Caenorhabditis elegans: one gene and its partners. The protein of the gene in region 2 purifies or fractionates together with the protein of the main gene of each other region. This does not show direct contact. Each region holds a gene or a part of one and is shown on either strand. Other genes may lie near its edges.

Evidence for each region.
Region 1: the proteins of rpt-2 (region 2) and iff-2 fractionate together in Caenorhabditis elegans (co-fractionation; one large-scale study listed by BioGRID). This does not show direct contact.
Region 3: the proteins of rpt-2 (region 2) and pbs-4 fractionate together in Caenorhabditis elegans (co-fractionation; one large-scale study listed by BioGRID). This does not show direct contact.

What each region holds. Positions count from the first base shown.
Region 1 is NC_003280.10:8,557,081-8,563,662, reverse strand, and holds iff-2 (Eukaryotic translation initiation factor 5A-2), read left to right. Parts: upstream 1-2,698; 5' UTR 2,699-2,707; coding exon 2,708-2,836; intron 2,837-2,890; exon of another isoform or gene 2,891-2,972; intron 2,973-3,422; coding exon 3,423-3,575; intron 3,576-3,651; coding exon 3,652-3,855; 3' UTR 3,856-4,082; downstream 4,083-6,582. Other genes in the region: F54C9.14 (PID domain-containing protein), read right to left, coding at 1-88, 134-367, 825-1,067, 1,140-1,235. UniProt on the Caenorhabditis elegans protein: Translation factor that promotes translation elongation and termination, particularly upon ribosome stalling at specific amino acid sequence contexts.
Region 2 is NC_003283.11:6,013,217-6,021,178, forward strand, and holds rpt-2 (putative 26S proteasome regulatory subunit 4), read right to left. Parts: upstream 4,454-7,962; 5' UTR 4,453-4,453; coding exon 4,290-4,452; intron 4,244-4,289; coding exon 4,023-4,243; intron 3,978-4,022; coding exon 3,255-3,977; intron 3,209-3,254; coding exon 2,984-3,208; 3' UTR 2,833-2,983; downstream 1-2,832. Other genes in the region: Transcription factor fos-1, read left to right, coding at 294-407, 1,003-1,503, 1,557-1,758, 2,354-2,475; aps-1 (AP complex subunit sigma), read left to right, coding at 4,759-4,836, 4,885-4,988, 5,243-5,534; picc-1 (PAC-1 interacting and coiled-coil domain-containing protein 1), read left to right, coding at 5,790-5,814. UniProt on the Caenorhabditis elegans protein: The 26S proteasome is involved in the ATP-dependent degradation of ubiquitinated proteins. The regulatory (or ATPase) complex confers ATP dependency and substrate specificity to the 26S complex.
Region 3 is NC_003279.8:3,906,173-3,912,201, reverse strand, and holds pbs-4 (Proteasome subunit beta type-2), read right to left. Parts: upstream 3,456-6,029; 5' UTR 3,451-3,455; coding exon 3,348-3,450; intron 3,299-3,347; coding exon 3,003-3,298; intron 2,953-3,002; coding exon 2,886-2,952; intron 2,831-2,885; coding exon 2,688-2,830; 3' UTR 2,517-2,687; downstream 1-2,516. Other genes in the region: T20F5.8 (TPA-induced transmembrane protein), read left to right, coding at 539-633, 677-712, 1,324-1,408; mrrf-1 (Ribosome-recycling factor, mitochondrial), read left to right, coding at 1,665-1,790, 1,835-1,954, 2,001-2,162, 2,208-2,516. UniProt on the Caenorhabditis elegans protein: Non-catalytic component of the proteasome, a multicatalytic proteinase complex which is characterized by its ability to cleave peptides with Arg, Phe, Tyr, Leu, and Glu adjacent to the leaving group at neutral or slightly basic pH.

The DNA of each region.
Region 1 (6,582 bases), on a different chromosome or scaffold from region 2:
TCTTTGGTGTTTTTGCTGGAGCTGGAGTTGGAGCTTTTTGAATAACCATTTGAGAATCGTTCGGAACGTGACTAGGATGAGGGCTTGCCTGAATTCAAATATAGGAACTTCATTTGATACTACAGTGACCCACCTGTTTCAAGTTAATCGGAGTCGATGGCGTTGTCGTCGAGAGTTGACTATGTGAAGACATTGAAGTCAAAGACATTGTACCTTCCAATACTGATATACTTGATGTAGTTCTTCTGGTTCTGACCAAGAATTCATCAGATCTTTTATTTGATACCTCTTTCTTTGTCTTCTTTGATTTTTCAATAACACACGAGAAACGTTGTTTCGGGGGAAATGGATTGTGGTAGAGAATGTGCTGGAAATTAGAATTTAGAGATACGTGCATGAATTGGAAGCTAATCTGTAGACTATTATTCATTCTCAATATTATTTTTTACAAAAGATATTCACATCAAAGTAGCACGTTGCTTAAGTATTCAGAAGAATTGACTTCCAGGAGGCACGGGTATTTTATTTTAGAAAGGAGCGACTTTATTATGAGCCACCAATAGAAAAGCATGGCACATCTTTAAGATATAAAGTTCTCGCAATTTCTGGTCTATCAGCTGGGGAACTATATGAGTATGTACACATGTAAGATATCTCGCACCGAACCTATTTACTGTACTCACATAAAATTCCAAACTGACTACACCGTGCAGGTATAATCTAGATGACCTTTTTTGCCAATTTTAATTATTAGACATACGATAATTATTACAAAATTGTTTTCTTTGATCTTTGTTCTTTGAATCTTGAAAAGATCGAAGTACCTCCATATAAAATCGTTTTGCTTTTTCACAAGCATTACGAAGCGATTTCCGATTATCAGCCGAATTGAACGCAGCTTCAAAATATTTTGAATCGACTAATTCTGTAGCAGTTCGACGAGAAACTTCACTGATTGCAAATGAAACAAAATTCCTTCCATTTTCCGATTGGCAACATGTTACAGTCATTCTTTGAGGATCACAAGATGCATCAGCAAGATAATTGTTCACACAATTATACGACATCTGAACAAGAATCCATTTGATTTTTGAATTTTCAGTTTGCAAAATAAACGTTTCAAAATCCGTCTAACTCACAGTGAAAGAAGTAGGATCTTCAATTTTTCGAGTTGCCACAGCTCCATTTTTTGTAAAAATCACTTTTTGTGAATTAGTCTTCATACAAGTTGGCATTTTTAGAAATCGTAAGTACAGAAATAAATTTTTAAAAAACGAACCAGAAGCGGTTGAGCAAAACGTGAAAATTTAAATAGGATAATTTAATATTTTTCAAATTTTTGGTAAATTGCCAAATTTTCCAAAAAAAAAAACGCAATTGAAGTATAAAGCTCGTAGAAAATATGTTTTTGTCAATTTCCTAAAATATGTCCTAAAATATCCTAAAACTAAATAAATCTAAATTTTTCAGCAGCTTCAGTAGAGACTGCAACATCTAATGAGATCTTCGTTGGTGACTACAATGCTCATAATCAGTTCAATCCAAGTTTTTTTAAAACTTAAGCAGGAGCTGAGGCAACAAAAACAGTTGTGTAAAAGTCATGAATATTTAGGTTGTCGGGGGGTTCAATCCATAACTAACTTACCATGTTTTGATATACTTCCTTTCCCCTCAAACTACACGAATGTATTTTATGATAGTTTTTGTAGTGTAATAACTTCTAATAACTTGTCTAATAACTTGTATCTTACTTGTTTCTGCTTTTATTATTAATACATTATAATAAATTCAAAAACAAATTTGTTCAACTTTTAAGTAGGGAAAAATTGAATAATTACCAAATTGAATAGACACACTAGTTGTCAATAGATTAGTAGGTCTGGAACAAATTGGTAAACTGTACATATAGTAAACCATATATAATAAATATATTTACTAACCAGCTCATGAATGTAATTTTAATTCAATGTTTAAAATTAATAAAACTTATCTAAATTGTTTTCATGCCCGTTTTTTAGTATACTCACTTACTACAACTCTTATCTTATCTACTACAATAACCTACAACTTAACTCTTATTTGTCTCCATTTTCCCGCTCCTCTGTCTCGATATGTTCCGTTTTCTCCAAAACTGCAAAATTGTATGTTTGTCAGTGTCTCCACCATTACACCACCGTCTCAACCCTGCAAGACCGGTGCATACACGCTCCGTCGACGGCCACGCGGTTGGTTATTGCCTGCGTAGCGACCCACACACAGTGATGGGATACCGAGTTCAACCGTATTTACGTAAGACCTTCGCAACTGTTTAGGCAACTTTTGAAAGTCTTTTTTTGAAAAGTTTCAGACTGTTTTCTTGTGATTTTCAAGACAAAACTGTGTAAGTATTAGGGAATGCTTGGTTTTTGTCTTAGATATAGTATCTACCTACAATATGCTAAGTTGATATGATAAATTATTGATTGATGATGTTTTTTCTATTTGTCATCATTTTTAGGTTATTATGGTTTAAATCAATTTAGATACATTCAATTTGCTGACTTTTTTGAAATGGCTGTAAAAACTAGTAGATTTATCAAATTGGATCTAGGTCCCCATTTCTTAAGGACTATGTATTTGACGCTTTACTATATTTTTTCTGGTTTTTATTTATTCTTAAATATTGTTATCATTTAAAAAATTAACTTGTGCGTTGTAGGGTACCAATATGTCTGACGATCATCACGACGACGAGCACTTCCACACCGGAGACTCTGGAGCTGCTGCCACATTCCCAAAGCAGTGCTCTGCTCTCCGTAAGAACGAGCATGTCATGATCAAGGGACGCCCATGCAAGGTTCGCTTTGTTTTAAAATGTTGAAAAATTAAATAAACTTAGAAGATGTTTTGTGAAAAAGTGCGATGAATGACTTGGATAAGTTTCGGCTGAAACTTGGTGATGCCAACTTTTTAAAACTGCTGAGCACTTTTTCTCAAACAAAAACCCAATAAATATGAAAGAACTATATATATAGTTATATAAACTATTCACTCATAGTTTTTTACAAAAACTGAAAGCTTACCAAATTGATAATTAATTCCAAAACAAAAAACTCCTGAAATTATTTAGCTCACAAAATACCCAGATAAGATGATATGATTTAATCCTAAAAACTGTTAGTCTAAACATTAGATAGGCCAGATATTTATATTCTCAGAGGCGAGTGAAGAGGCGGATCAGAGACACCCCGCCATGCTTTTACCGGAAGGAAATTCTAAGACAGTTAATTTGAATTTTAGTTCTAATTTAAATATTAACATTTTAAAATTGCAAAAAATATTTGAGGAATAAAAAAAAAGTATACATACAATCGTAGCACCATGCTTCTAGAATGTGGACAAATCAACTTTGCGTAACCATAAAAGTTATCTGAAAGTTGTAGATCGTCGAAATGTCGACCTCCAAGACCGGAAAGCACGGTCACGCTAAGGTCCACATGGTCGCCATCGACATCTTCACCAGCAAGAAGCTTGAAGATATCTGTCCATCCACCCACAACATGGATGTTCCAGTCGTCAAGCGTCGTGAGTACTTGGTAGGTTTTCCAAAATTTCATATTGCTAAACTATCACTAAATTTTTATTCAATTTTCAATATGCTTGTTCTTTCAGTTGATGGCCATCGATGACGGATATTGCTCCCTCATGGACCCAGAGTCCTGCGAGCAAAAGGATGACCTCAAGCTTCCCGATACTGAGCTCGGACAACAGATCCGTGATGCTTATGAGAAGGACGAGGGATCCGTTTTGGTCCAAGTTGTCTCTGCTATCGGAGAAGAGGCTATCCTCGGATGGAAGGTCAGCACCAAGGAATAAATCGTCAAAGGAACCCCCTGCCAACTGCTCATGAATCCTGATTCCCCCGTTCCACCCCGCAAAACTTTCACTGTATGAATGGTGCTGCTTGACATTCCATTCCAGAATTCAAGTATAACCCATCATCAAGTGCTCGTGTTATTTTTCTTGTTTTCATTAACTTTTTTTTTTGCTTTTTTTCAAAACATAACTGAGAATTTAATTTCAAATAAATTATCAGAAAATTTTGGTTTCCATTTTATTTAAAAACTATCAATCCACCTCCATGAATTCACTCGTTTTTTCTTTTGCCTTCTTGTTCCATCATCATCCGTAGGTAATTTGTTTCTGTTCCATCATCTCACACACTCTCTCTTATACACGCACAACAATTGACTAAATTTGATTTATAAATGAAGTTGCACGGAGAGTTGCTTTTCGATTCACTTTCATTTGATTCTGAATCTAGGAATAGTTGAAGAGAAAAGAAGCGATTTCATTTCCGGTACTGGGAGATATCTGACCAGAATCTTAGTCAGATGCTTCTTTTGTTTTTCGATTGACTAGGAAATATGTTACTAAAGAATAATTCCTAGAGTTTTTAAGTTTTTCAGTTCTAAACGCTTTCCTATAAACGCAATCCTGGAAATGTTTAATGACTCGTAAAGCAACCGTTTTTGACAAGAGACACCTGTGATTTATACGTTTTTCAAGCTTCATCAAAATAGTGCCTAGAATTTCCATTCGTTCTTTCAACTTTCAGTCTGAAAAGAAACATATCGATGTATCTTGTTAGGTTATTTTGGCTCACTTTTATAAAAATATCTTCACTTACTGGAACGGTCATATTGTTTTTTTGCGTACTTATACCTTTCTCTGCTTGACTTCAAAACTTAATTTTAACAAAAACAAGAGGCGTGGAAAACTTTAAAAGCTTCTTGGTAACAACTCGACCTTTCTAATGGGATTTTAAAGTCTAGACACGTGTTTACCAATTATCAGCATACTTGTTGTATTGTCTATTTTAGTTTATAAATTAGTTCAAGAATAAGGTTCAATGTTTTTGAAATTGACGCTGTTTTCATTTTTGATTTGACAGCTTTCAAGGGCACGTTACCAGCTTTTCCAAACCGAGCTGTAGAAATCTGCCAATGGTGCACTAAAAAACTTTCTACAAGTATCGTGCTGAATTTCTTAACTTCTGTAACTGAAACCTCGTTTGTATGAACAAAAACTTAGTTAAGACCGTGTAATAGTTCAAATTGAGTTTGCATTGTTGATTCGCATCAGAAATTTAAAACAAGCATATCAGGCATTGAATATAATTTGCAAATTTCAGAATCGCCGCTCAAAATATCTGAAAAAAGAATATGACGGATCAAAGAATAAATAAAGAGAAAATGGGCGTGGCTGAGCCGTCTCATATTCACTCATTTCCCGACGGACCGCCCGTTCCTTTTTCTCTTCAACAAAATTGTCCTCGTTCGTTTCGTCTTCCACCCGTCAAAAATAGAATAACAACCACTATCGCCGTGTCGTCACTTTTCAATTTTTTAGTCGTTAGTAGTTTTAAAAAATGACATGTAAAAGCTTTCTTTGACATGGTTTTAGATATATGTTTCTCTTTTTATGTTTTCAATTTTGAATTTTCGCTTGAATGATTTTCTTCTTTTTGTTTCAAATTGAACACGAATCTGCTTTTTTTGAGGTGGACACCAGACGCGAGAAATCGAATACTACTTGAAAAAATATAAATTTCTTTTGGTTTCTTATTCATCACCTAGTTTTTAAATGAGTTGTTTTTTTGTATTTGAAAACAATAACACATAAATTATTAGCTTTGTTAAAGAAACGTTCAATCCGGTTAATTTTCCCGTGTTTTCTAGAGATTTAGATTTTTGCATACATATGATAAATTCACAATATTTGTTCAATCGAAAATGTCTTAAACCAAATATTGTTTAAAAAATTCAAATTAATTTGGTACTTGAGAAAGCTAATAAATTAAATAAGTGTAGGCTTAAAACATACCTGTTAAAAGTAGGTAAAGATTCTTTGACCTGTAAACCGGATGTTTTATAAAAGTTGAAGAGTTCAACACGTGTATCATTTCCTGTATTCATCCATTTCACTTCCGGTCTAACGGAACTTGCCGAAAATTTGCAAAAATTTAGTTTCTCCGCATGACAGATTTTTTAATGTTCACATCATATTAATTTTGTTATTCTCTATTATTTTGAATTAATTCATGTTTTCTTCTAATTGTAATTCACATAGCTTATTAGTATCTTGATGTTTTTGCCAATAGTTTGACTATACACATTTCCATAGAGCTTTTCTTGTACAGACCATGTTTTTTGTTTTCCAGTATGCTCGATGTTAGTTTCCAAATTCGTAATGCTCGACACATCTGACAATGTAATTTTACGCAAGTAATTTTTGTTAGCGATCAAAGACCGGTCAAGAAAACGATCACTTCAGACAGTTTGCCATACGTGTTGTGCGTTTTGTGTCATAAAAACAAGCAACGGAATAAAAATAGATTAAGTCCAAGAAAGTACAATGCAATGTGTAAAAAAGATTCGACAATGTGGGTGATATTTTTCTTAGAATTTGCGTCCGCGGAGGATTAACGTTCCCCGCCGATTCATTTTCTGGAATATATACATACATAGATATCAAGAACACTTTTCTTCCCGTAGATACAATTTCCAGGAAAGGTCTCGTTAAAATGTTGGGTTTACCGAT
Region 2 (7,962 bases):
CTTTCGTCCATTTCTTTTTTCATTTTTAGATAGACGCCCTTTCCTGCCCACCAGGTACACTATGCAAAGTAAATATATTAGTCATCACGCAATATTGTATCTACATCCCTCGCTCTTTCGTACACCCTACCTTCCCAGTCTTCACCTAAAAGCTTAGAGAGACACCCACCCCAAGCAGAGGGGAAAATGAGCCACTTGACAAGAAATATAACGAAATGGATAATCTTTTGAGTAATCAGAGAAAATATTAACAAATCCTCAAAATACGGAAACTTAGAGTCAATGATTTTCAGGATAATATGGAGGATGACGATGATGATAAGAGGCTGAAACGTCGTCAAAGGAATAAAGAAGCTGCTGCAAGATGTCGGCAAAGGAGAATTGATTTGATGAAGGAATTGCAAGATGTAATAGTTTTATTCAAAAATAATTACATTCACCAAATAAAAAATTAGGATATTTTAATTGCAGTGGGGTATCTACCTTTAGTGAACACTTAAATTTTGAAGCAATTTTCAGTTAAGCATAACTCAAAAACTATACAGCTTCTCTAAATACTTTCAACAAGCAAAATGTTGATGATAACTTTGGCTACATTTTTGCCGTTGGAAAATTGTTAGCAATCTCACCCTGGAAAAAGTTATAGCAGCTGACAACTTGCTGGCCCAGTTTTGACTATTTCTATTGGAATCTTCTTAACTCAATAACAGAACGTTTTCATAGAAAACAAAATTTAAAATTGATTGCAATGTTCTAGATTCAGAAATGCCGGTAAAAAATTCAAAATTTTAAATATTTCAGAAAACAGTTTTGGGCCTAGTTCCAAGAATTTAGTAGTTTTTATAATTAACTTTCAAACATTTTTTAACTTATAAATTCACTATGATTTGCAATATATTTCAGTTTCATTTTGAAAAAAAACCACACTTATAGGTTTTTTTAGACTTCAAAATAGGAAGTTTCAACATTGTATTAAAGATAAATTTCACGATCTATTTTCAGCAAGTAAATGACTTCAAAAATAGCAACGACAAAAAAATGGCGGAATGCAACAACATCCGAAATAAGCTCAACAGTCTCAAAAACTATTTGGAAACGCATGATTGTAAACTGAGTCGCGAAGAACGAACACATGAGATAAATCGATTGATAATCCCACCATCAACAGTTCCACCATCACAACCATATCTTCAACATTCGTTGAGAGTTCATCCACCACGTGCTGACTCTGTACCATATTCTATTCGATCAGGACATTCATCTTCATCGTCTGAACAACACTCACCAGTTGAGGACTATAAGCCTTCAATTGATCAATTACTTCTTCCTCCAATCTCATGTATTCAAAATATCAAAGATCGAAATATCAATTCTATGCCACCACCAGCTTTACCGGCAAGCACGAGTGCTGCTGGAATTCATGTTATCACTTCTATCCCGGTTTCGCATGCCAACTCATTACACGGTCGTTCGGAAAACGTTTTCGCAGAACCGGAACGCAAAGTGAGTACATTCATTTTAATTTATTGAATCTTTTACATTACATTTTACTTCAGATTCCAAAAATCGAGTTGGACCAAACACTGACATCATTGACCATGCCAGACGACGTTGAACGTCCGTCAGCTCTTCCGACGCTTTCCAGAATCGTTGAAAATCAGCCGATCACTACTCCCAGCAGGCCTTTCCGTCTCGGGGGGGAATATCAAAATCAAACACCGCAGAGTACAGGGAATGGACTATTCGGAGGCCCACCAGGTAGTTTATTTAATCGGATTGTAGCCAATGAATAAAAATTGTATTTTTTACAATATTGCAATTCTTAATCCTAAATCTGAGTCTCATCGCGAGCAAAACTTTTCAGCTACCGTACCCGAGCTCTTCTAGTTTCTACCAATATTTTCACGTGGTGTCAGTCTGTACCATCACGGGTTGATCTACAAAAAATTCGGGAATTTATTCCCTTAAAAAATGTGACGCCATCACGTTCTTAACCATGCGATACTTGAAGTATGCGTCTAAATTCCCGCGATTCTCGGAGATCAAACCGATATAGGACACTCTGACACCACGTGTATTTTGAGATATCAATATTGCAATAATCATACAAAAATTGGAATATTTTGAAAAAACTCAACGTTAAATATAAAAAATGTTAAAATTGGAACTACAATTGCGAGTACGGTAGCTGGAAAGTTGTTGGCGTGCCAAGACCCAGAAATTTGCATAATTTTAATTCAAATGCCGATATTTCTACAATATACGAAAATTTTCTTAAATTTTTCCAGTTTCATCCCGGGCTAAAAAGTGTTATTTTTATTTCTCAAAATATAATTAACGATTTTCATTCCAGGCCCATTCGACTTGCTTTCCTCCAACACTGGTCTGACACCTTCTGGTCAGCCAACAATGAACTTCGTTTCAACTCCAACCCCGATTCAACCACATCCGGATGCTGATCTCCGACCACTCTAGATTCCGATTCAAATCATTTTCTGTAGCGTGCATTTGTAATTTTCCCCGTCCAGCTCTCATTATTACAAAATTTCATACAATTTCCCGATTTTCTATCCAATTTCCATATCTTTAAATTCAGCCAGTTCTCTCTTTTCTCATTATAGTTTCACTTTTAGCTACTGAAATTCCCCCAACTTTCCGTTTCCAATTATTGTGATAAGAAATACATTCAACTGTAACATCATTTTCTTATTCTTCGAAACCATCAACTTCTTCACTGGTAAATCTTCAAGTCGATTTTCTCCATTTTTTTCTTCTTCAGTTTCATTAAATTCATGAACTTTCCTTACCAACCATCAATCCCAATGTCACATAAACGAATATTTTTCATCATGAATCATTTACCTCAATCAATCCAGATTTAAAATTACATTAAATCGGTTTTTGTGCAACGGGACGTTCAAAAAGGGAATAAAATAAATTGGGAAAGAGAAAATACAAAAAAAATAAATAAAACGGGGCACATTTACAAATAGAGTTCTTCTGGAGCTCCTTCCTTCTTACGGTAGAGCACATTTTCTTTGGACTTCTGGAAATCTTCCATCGTGACACGCATACGACGCTCGCGAAGAGCTAAGAGACCAGCTTCTGTGCACATAGCCTTGATATCAGCTCCACTCAACTCGTCCTTTGCTGTGATGAACTCTTCGAGGTTAACTTCTTTGCCGAGTGTCATTCGAGATGTATGGATCTGAAAATAAAAACTTCATATAATGTTTAGAAAAAATTGTTCCAACCTGGAAGATACGGCGCTTCGTTTTTTCATCTGGCAGGGGGAATTCAATCTTACGATCAATACGACCTGGACGAATGAGAGCAGGGTCGAGAGATTCGATGCGGTTAGTGGCCATCAAAACTTTAACATCTCCACGGGAATCGAATCCATCAAGTTGATTGAGAAGTTCAAGCATAGTCCGCTGAATTTCACGTTCTCCACCAGAGTTCGAATCGTAACGTTTTGTTCCAACAGCATCAATTTCATCAATGAACACAATTGATGGTGCATTCTCCTCAGCAACGCGGAAGAGCTCACGGACCATCTTTGGACCATCTCCGAGGTATTTCTGAATAAGTTCCGAACCAACAATACGAAGGAAAGTAGCTGACGTCTGATTAGCAACAGCCTTGGCAAGTAGCGTTTTTCCAGTACCAGGACAACCGTATAGAATAACTCCCTTTGGAGGCCGGATTCCCATCTCTTCGTAGTATTCAGGATGAGTCAGTGGAAGCTCAACTGCTTCTTTAATTTCTTGAATTTGCTGATCAAGACCACCAACATCGGCATACGTTTCTTGTGGTGCTTTTTCGAGCTTCATGACAGACACCATAGGATCTGTATCATCGGAGAGAACTCCGATGACGGCGTGATTCTTGTGGTTGAGAAGGACTGAACATCCCGGCTCGAGTTGTTCCTTGTCGACGAATGACATGATGTTGACGTAATGCTCACTTCCGACGTTCTAAATATTGAAATAAGAAAATATTATCGATATATTGATTCTTACAGTTGAAACAATGGCGTGCTGATCATCGATAATTTCCTCAAGTGATCCGACTGCCATTGGTGTTCCACGGAGCTCGTCCACCTTGGCGCGCTCTTCTTCTTGTCTCTCCTCTTGTGGCTTCAAACGCTCCTGGTTTTGAATGAATTCTTGCTCCATCAACAAATAATCCTTGATTCTTTCGCTCTTCAGCAACTTCAGACGGCATCTGGCATGTGGTGTGACTAAAACCGAATCATCAGTTAAAATACACACTAGATTGAAACTTACCAGCTGGAAGTTTGCTAGCGGCGTCAGGTCCCTTAGACCCCTTCTTCTTCTTTCCAATCCTAGATGGAATCGGTGCCTCATATTTCTTCTTTTCCTTCTTCTCTCCATCTCCGGCACCGCGGTCATTTCCTCTTCCACCGAAACCTGACTGTTGTTGCCCCATTCTAGAAAATAATGATTTTATATGAAAAATAATAAGTCCACGTTTGAAAAAGAAAACAATTGAAAGATATAAAATAAGTAGAACGAAGAATGATTTAAAAAAATACAGCGTTGATGATGACAATGCAAGCGCGCTCTGGTGAGAACTAAACAACGCGCGGTTTCGTATTTTCGGAGCTTCGTTGTTTTTATTGACGAAGCCACATGTCTGTTTTATTCAGAAAATCTAATTTTTCAATTGATTTTTAAGTATTTTCAGCGTTTTAAAGTTTGCAAACGATTGTTCATACTCTTGTTTTCAGTAAACATGATGCAATACATGCTTCTCTTCAGTCGCCAGGGCAAACTGCGGCTGCAGAAATGGTACACTGCTTACCCCGACAAGGTAAGTGTATTTCCTATTCATATGTGTAATTTCACACTCAATTTTCAGCAAAAGAAGAAAATTTGCCGCGAACTCATCACTCAAATTCTGGCGAGAAAACCGAAAATGTGTGCGTTCCTCGAATACAAGGATTTGAAAGTTGTCTACAAACGGTTCGTATTTTATATTCAAAAGTAACAACTCCCATTTCCTGTCATGCCTTAAAATTGTTCCTTCTGAAAATAACTTACAAGTTTATAATCAAAATTTCTTGAAAATTATAGTTACACACCTAAATCCGAAGTTATTACGTTTTTTATTCATGAAAAATATTTTGGCGTCAAATTTAGTTGTTTAATAGACATTTTTGTGATAAATGAAACAAAAACTTAACAATTCGTTCAATTTTTAATCTCAACAATTTCAGATACGCGTCTCTGTATTTCTGCTGCGCCATCGAACAAAACGACAACGAGCTCATCACTTTGGAAGTCATTCATCGTTACGTAGAACTCCTCGACAAATATTTTGGAAGTGTTTGTGAGCTGGATATCATCTTCAACTTCGAAAAAGCTTACTTCATACTCGACGAATTTTTACTGGCTGGTGAAATCCAGGAAACCAGTAAAAAACAAGTTTTGAAGGCGATTGCTGCCCAAGATCTCATTCAAGAAGAAGAAACTCCACAAGGATTCTTCGAGGATCACGGTTTGGGATAATGAAGATAATAGTAACATAATTTATTGACTTTGAAAGCTTCCGTAAATACCAAATACTTCCACCTTACTTTATTTATCCTGGCTATGTGTCTGGTTGTGATAATATTCATGTGAATAAGAGAAGAAAACATTCATTTTTCAATCTTCCATTATGTATTCTTTCTGTTAGGAAACTTCAATGCATGACTTGCATTATTTCTACACTTTTTTCAATTTTTTCTTTAAAGTTTTGAACTTTCTCAGGTTTCGAAGCGGATGATTATCACAACTCCGAGACGAGGTGAGCTAATGTGAATTTTGCCGAGTTTCCCGCACATGAGTGTAAAACACGAACAGGGGAAAGGTGGATTCAAGGATAATTCAACGGGGGGTAATATGCGAACGTTGGCAGTGTAACATGTCAGTTCGAACGGAATGAATGTAGGAATGATTGGCACCTCTGCCGGAATTGTCATTTGTTAGATTACAAAGCACAATGTTCACCTTCTTGTTGGTGTCGAATTTCAAAATATCATTTATCTGAAATTTCGATAAGTATGATTAAACTAGTCAAAATTGTTTCGATCACTTCCGTTTTCTCAAAGTTTAATCATTTTCGTACAGTAGATGTTTGTGTCCTCTTCATGTTTTCTGCCCAATACTTCTTCCTCTTCCCATCCACTATACTTTGCATTGTTTTTGGTTTTACATTGAACAAGGGCAGTGAAGGCGGAGACAGCGGGAAATGTTTCCGCGCGGATTCACTCATTCTCTCAAGTATCCATCAATTTGCTCCAGCACACACTTGTTCTTTCACCTAGTTTTTGAGTCGTAGTTAATTTTTGATCTAAAATCTTGGCAGAAAGCAGAAGTACGCATCACATTATTTGAATAAGTATTCGCATTTTCAATATTCGCAGTCCATGAGACCCTAGAAATCATAAACAAACCTCGCTATTTTTTTCAGTCTTGAAAATCAGCCAAAGAGTTGGTTCGAAATAACGCTTCCCAGTTGCTTTTAACTTTAGGAAAGAACGATTTCAAGTAATAACAATAAATGTATATAATTCAACGGAACTCCATTTTTCACTTGGTAGATTTAAATTAGCTTTACGTGGTGCATTAAAAATAATCACATGTTGAAAATCGATAATAGTTTTTCCTAATAGCAATGTACAAGTAATTGGTTTTTGTGGGTACGCAGAACTAAACCAGGTTTTGTTCTCGCAAGTTGCGACGAAAGTGTGAATGTTGGCACCCTGCCGTGTTCACTTCTTGTTTCCCGCCAAACGACTTGCAATTTGAGGTCGTACTCTTACTGGCAAACCTTTATTTTGCAATTGATGACAGAACCAAGCATATTTGCAATTACTATAATTCCAGTTCAAAATCGTAACCTTTTTTTTTTAGTTTTTTGGAAGTTTTCACACCTATCAATACTCTAAAAACAGATTAGACACTTAATTTTGCTACACAGCTGCCCAGATGGTGCAACCAGTAAAAGGTGCGAACAGACTGAAACAGTCTTCCTATTGCATATACTTCCCGGAAACGTGACGGTGCCCTCATTTCCTAGTCAGAATACGTCTATTAACCAACGTCAATTATTTATCGTCATATGTGTTCTTCTGCAACGTTATTGTGCACACAATATTGCGCTGAATAAAATAGACGTAATCCTCTCTCTATGTATCTATAAGATCAGATTAGTTGTGTGGGAACCTTTATCGAGATACCATCTCTTTTTCTTTCAGTTTTTACACTGTCTTTTTTTGTCTGTTGTTCCTCATGAAAGTATCGTCTAATCCACCTTTTCCTCTTTCATTCGGGGCATTAACTTCGACACCTAAATCGAACGAGACTATCCATTTTCATTTACTCAAAGTCAATCCCAATTCTACACAAATGCCTCCCACTTTTGTGGTAAATCGTATCTGACAGTTTTCACAGGAAGCCATTCCACGAAACTGGTACTGTACCACATAGTCATCTTTAATTTGTGTCACGTAACATGAGGTACAGGTGGTGGCATACCTTCTGTTCTACGTCTATAAATTTGATGCAACGTTCTTATTAACTACAGATATGCCATTAAATTGGAAAACTAGAAAAAGCATTTAGCTTAACCATTTTACCATGACACCGAAAGTTTGACCGCTTCAAAAATCTCACGTCTAGTTTGTTCCGACTAAAGTTTTAGATTCAATACAAATTAGTACGTCTACTTGGTCTCCAATCCTACCTATTATTTTCATTGTCGTATTGGAATAAGTCGCCAGGTGAAAGTTTCAACTAGCCATGAGTAAATCGTACTATATAATTGTGTGGGCATTCTCTGGCTGTTTCGAAGATTGTCTTTTTTCCTCTTACCTTGACTGATGAGACTTCAGTAGTTTCTTTTTTACGCTTCATATTTCATTTTTCGAAATGCATATTCATTCCGCCGTTG
Region 3 (6,029 bases), on a different chromosome or scaffold from region 2:
GGACGCGGGGCAAGACACATTTTTGGATATGTTTTTTGAATTTTCAGTTAAAATTTGGGAGAATAAACTAAATTTAAACAAAATTTATTTTTATTGTTACACTTTCGCGAAGACAATATTCAAGGGAGATGCATAAATATTTTGTGTATGCGCCTTTAAATGTATTTCTCTTATTATTTTTTTTTCGTTGTTATCAATTCGTTGTTATCAAGACACAGGAAAAGAAAACAATGAAATTGAGCGTTCTCCTCCTCCAAACGTTGGGTCTCGTTTCACAAAACCGCGAATTGAAAGGTTTTCAATTTTTTTTTTTGAATTTATAGCTTTACCTAACGAGACCCAACGTTTATGGGCGTTTCCATTTGGCCGCGGGGCGCTCTTGCATCTTGATTTTTTTTTGCGTTCTCTTCCTTTGAAGTCTAGATTCGAATCATGCAAAAATATATAACATTCGATTTTATTTTCCGGGCCATTACAGTAACCCATATTCAAAGGCGCATGCTATTTTTCCGAATAACCATATTCTCAAATCTTTCAGCCATTTGAGACACCGACAGTTCTAAACATTACAACATTTTCTGAAGAGACATTATCCACTGAAGAGTACGCACAAGCTTTTGAATTAGCCGTCAAGTACGTCTTCTGCGATTATTTTTCCGCATTATTTTATTTTCAGGAACGATCAATTGGTTTTGCCAACTGGTGTCAGCAGGTTTGTGATGGGAAGTGAGGGGTCTGAAATTTCCTAATTTTTCCCTGTGGGTCCCGCCACGATTCACAACGAAAAATTCTGAGAGTGCGTACTGCGAAATATATTTGACGCACAAAATATTTTGTAGCGAAAGCTACAATTATTCGAATGACTACTGTAGCGCTTGTTTCGATTTACGGCAGGCTCGATTTTTTAAATGATTTGAAATTATTGATTTATCGATAGAATTTTTTAATGAGAAAATAATACAAAGAAACGAAGGAAAATGGAATAACGCTGTCACTTTTCGAAAATAAATTCGTTTCAAAAATTGAGCCCGTAAATCGACACAAACGGTACGGTATTTTAAGAGTTACTGTAATTTTCTCTGCGAGATATCTTGCGCGTCAAATAAGTTGTGCAATACGCATTCTCAGGATTTGCTTTTCCTGTAATAAAATAAATGCTGTATTTAGTATAATTCGCATTGATATAATATTGATCTGTGCGCAAAATACCTACCAATATTTTCGGTGTGAATCGTGGTGAGACCCTGTGCTCGACCTCGGCCCTGTTCTCTCATAATATAAAACAAGTTTCTATCGATCTTTCAGAAATGTTACAATTTTCAGTGAGACGATAAGAAGATATGTGGCGTCCACTGCAAGAAGAGATTCAAATGATGAATCGACAGTTTATCTGCTTCGTCACTCTTAAAATTTCCTTATTATCCTAATTTTGAGTTCATATTGTTTCAGAATAATGAATAGACACTTTTAAATAAAACCCCTGTTTTGAATTCCCGCGTTGTGTTTGAGACGAGAGTGTCTCTATAGAAGAGACGACAGACGGTTTACAAAATTTTTTTAAATCAAAAGTGCATTTCTCGTGAAAACAGTTTTATTTTCTCAATTTAAAATTCAATAATAGTGAAAATTAACTTTGTTAAAAAAATATACTTTTTACAGATTTAATGATTCGTTTAGCAGTAATTCGATTAGCCCAAGGTGCCTCTCGAGCTCAATTCCTTCAAAAACAAGCTCAAATCTTTACTTCTGCAGTTGTAAATGCTAAGAAAAAAGCGGACAATAAGAAAAAGGTTGGAATAAGTCATTTAGATTTATATTAAAAGTTATATTTCAGAATCCACCAGCAGTTTTCTCGAATTTGGAGGAAAACGCAGTCGTCCAGGAAACAATAAAAGAAATTCAAAGAGTTGAAGGATTACTTGTCGAAGAGCTCACAAGACATTTTTCTCTTAAAGTTAGTTTTTTAAAAGAATTGATCAAAGTAAAATAATTATTTCCAGGTAGATATTCGGCAATATGAAGATGTCATGGTCAAGCTTGAAAATGGAAAGGATAAGCCACTGTCCATGATTGCCAGAGTCACATTAAAATCTCCACTTATGATTATGATCAACTTCCAGGATAATCCATCTGCAATTAAAGCAGCAAAATTGGCGATTCAGGTACCATCTTGCCGTCCTTTTCATATTTTCCTTTGTTTATTTCAGAAATCAACTCTTAATGTAACTCCACAACAGGAGGGAGCTGTTTTGTATGTGAATGTGCCGCCGATGAGTAAAGAAAGAAGAGAGAAAATGGCATCTGATGCGAAGGGACGAATTCTCAATGAATACAAAAAGGCGATCAACGAAATCTATTCCAAAAGTGATAAGAAGTCGTCGAATGAGTTTTCCACGAGACCAGATGAAGCCAAGAAAACACGGGAAGCACTATTGAATATGAAGCACGCTGCTGAACAAAGAGGAGGTCTACTCATCGAAGAACGCCGCAAACAGCTGCTGAAACAAGTCGTTTAATTGTTATCTATCTTTTCAATTGCTCAATTTTAGATAGAATAAAATATGATGGAAAATACATTCGAATGTGTCAATAAATTAAAACGGAAGAAAACTGGGAGAAAAGTCACAAAAAAGGTTGCAGGAGAGAAGTGTAATAACCGGTGAAAAATATATTCCGGGGCCAGAAATTTAGAAAAGAACATCATCCAATTTGCGGTATCCCTTCTTATCGATGATCACCACTTTGTATCCCGGAATGTTGGCGACGAAACGTCTCTTAGCCTCTCCGATGCACTTGTTCATCAAAGCGAGTCCTTCAGCCTCAGTCATGTCTGAAAATCATTCAGTAAAGTTGGGAACATTAATTTAAACTTAATTAAAACTTACCTTTTTTGTATTCACGATCCATAATGGCATAGCAGAAGCGTCCGCAGAATCCTCGGAACAAGTACGGCTGAATAATAATTCTTTATTTTGACTAAAAGATAATAAATTGCTGAATACCTGTTGCCCGAGTCCATTAGCCAAGTAATCAACAGATCCTAGGAAAGCCTTGTCCTCCTTGTCATCATATCCTCCAATCAGAACATCGACAGTGTAGTGATCTTGCGAGCGGAGACCTTCGGCGATACTGCGCCGAACGAAGTGATGAGCACATGATGGTGAAACCTCGTAACCATTTCTGACCGAGTACAACTGAAGATTTCTCTTGGTCCAGTCTCCGAACTGTGCGACGTCTCCTTCCTCTCCGATGCACATCATTGTCAACTTCTTTCCCAGTCTATATTCCTTGTCGTTTTCTAAAATATAAATTTGAATATTTTTTGCATCCCGGATTCTCAGCCTTACCGCTGTCAGCGAGAATAGCGCCATAAGCGAAAGTGGCTTTGTCTGCGGCCAAAATCACGTAGTTTTCGGTGGAAATTCCCACCAAGAAGTGCATACCAGCCATCTCGTCTGAAAATAAGAATAATAAAATAATAAAATTCAACTTTCAGTGAGAAAAAAGGAAAGAAAAGCGACTTCGAATGCGGTTGAAACTTCAAAATTGCAAAAATGATGATTTCTGCATCTTGTCGTAATATTCGGTGTGCGCGCCCAATGCGCACTATTTGACGACGAATGTGTATACGGTAGGTGCTTTTAGAAGAAAAAGAGCTCTTTGGGAAAAGCTCGAGCTGGATCGACAGAAATAAAATCTTGAAAAGGCATGAAAACAAAGGTTTTTTAGAAGAATAGAAAACTTTCAGATTTTTTAACAATTATTCAGTCATTATTTTATATACTTTTTCAGTTAAAAACTTTCCCGATTGAATAATAAATTTATTATTAATAAAAATTTCCCTCATCATTAAATCAAGGTGCCAAGTGCATCAAGTGGTTGTGTAAATAATTAAAATCCCATATCGCAGCTTTTTGCAGGTCATTACTCTTTTCCGCGCACGCTTTGCTCGGCCGATTATCCGCTCATTATCGAACCGATTTTCTCGTCATAAATGAGCCGATCCTTAGACCACCACCATCTGCTCTTCGAATTCGTTCTCACTTATTCATTCATTCTTCGGGTGGTGCTGGTGGTTCGGCGCAGATGTCGTTATTACGAGAAAAGAAGTGCTCGAGCTATCCGGAGAGGAGGCGGATTTGTGTCTCCGAGATAATTAATCATTGTCTTCTCCGGGAAAAGTGGAGGCAAACCATCGTTCGGATTACACCATTCCAAACCGCACTCTTCGAGGCCACCCTGGTGTGTTTATAAACAAAGAACTCCTCTATTAAAGAGTCGCCGATACAATTTCATGGTCACCAGGTCATGTTGTTCCGAGGCAAGATGACACTTCATTTGCCACCTATTCATGAATCTTCTTGTGGTTTTCCGCAATTTATCCTGTTCTTTTCTAGCTTTCTACGTGTACAGGAAACTGCAATTTTACAGCGAGTAGTTTGTCTAAAATTGTGCATCGAGGTCCTGGCTCGAGCGAAACTTATCAACTACAGTACCCGCATTTTGAAAATAAGTAAGGTTTTAACAGTTAAATCAAAATATCTAAATACTGGCGGGGTACGATATTTGAAAAGTTTCGGTCGTGTCAGGACCCTGAAAGAAAAACAGTAAGCTACAACTTTTTTTGTTATTACCTGAAGATAAGATAATCACTCCCACACGTGGTGTCAGGCTGTCTCATTGCGGTTTGATCTACGAAAAATGCGGGAATATTTTCCCAGAAAAATTGTGACGTCAGCACACTCCTAACCATGCGAAATCAAATGAGATGTCTGCGTCACTTCTCCCGCATTTTTTCGAAGATCAAAGCAAAATGGGACTTTTTGACTCCACGTGCTCCCACCCTTCTGAAACAATTTAATGGCGCCACCAATAGAGAAATTATTTCAAGCTTTCCTTTAGTGATAAAATGAGCAAAAAATCATAGTGAAAAATATGGAGAACTCTTTGAAAAAAGTTTTTATTCAAAAAGTGACAATTACTACATAAATTTTGGAAGTCGACCAAAAATTGTAGGAGTTAAAAATACAGCATTCTCGAAAATATTCAGAAATTCCGCTATTTTTTAAATTTGGCAAGTTACCAAAACTTTAGCTGAAAATTTGGAAGTTATTGAAAATTTTTGGAATATCATTTCTGGGTCATTAACGTGTGTGTGCCAGGGGTTTGCGGCAATTGCCGTTCGGCAAATCGGCAAATTGCCGGTTTACCGTTTCTTTAGATATTTTCATAGAATTAGCTAACTTTTCAAAATAGATGTAGGAATATTCATAGGATGCGTACAATTTTGCCGATTAAAATTGAAATTCTGAAATTTCCAAAAAAAAATGTGCAAAACCACAATTTGCCGAAAATTTTCGGCAATTACCGTTTTTACGCCAAATTCGGCAAATCTGCCAGCTTGTCGATTTGCTGGAAATTTCCCATTCCACCAATTTGCCGATTTGCCGACTTGCCAAAAAAAATTGTTTGCCGCCAACTTCTGGTGTGTATAGACTACTTCCCTCCTCAAAATATGTACATCTCCAATTTTAAACCAAATTGTCGGAGCCGGAAAATTCGAGAATCGGCAAATTTTTCGGCAATCATCTTGCCCTAGAAGGTCTCGCCACGCTCTTTCCACTGCTTGGCTTCTTACTCACTTCAGAAGTCAACACGAGCTCCGTACTCAACCCATGTTTCACAATGTAATATTCAATTCACTGTGCTCATTCCACTTGCATTCTGCTGCTAAATTAGCATTCTCCCCTTTTCTTTTCTTTTTCCTTTCTTGTTGTTGTTTCTTCAAACAATTTTCAAACCCACTGCTTCCCATCGATTCTCTCTTCAATTTCTCTGCGTCTTCAGGCATAAGTAGTCGTTGCTCAAAAGAGAGAGAGCTCATGAATTCGTTTCCCATGCTCTTCTTCTTGTCGTTGAAACATTCACATACACACACATGTTAATCTGATATCCCTTCTTACGACTTCTGGTTTTGGTTTCTTTTTCAATTATTTTTTGGAAAGGATATAGATATATGTTTGTATGCT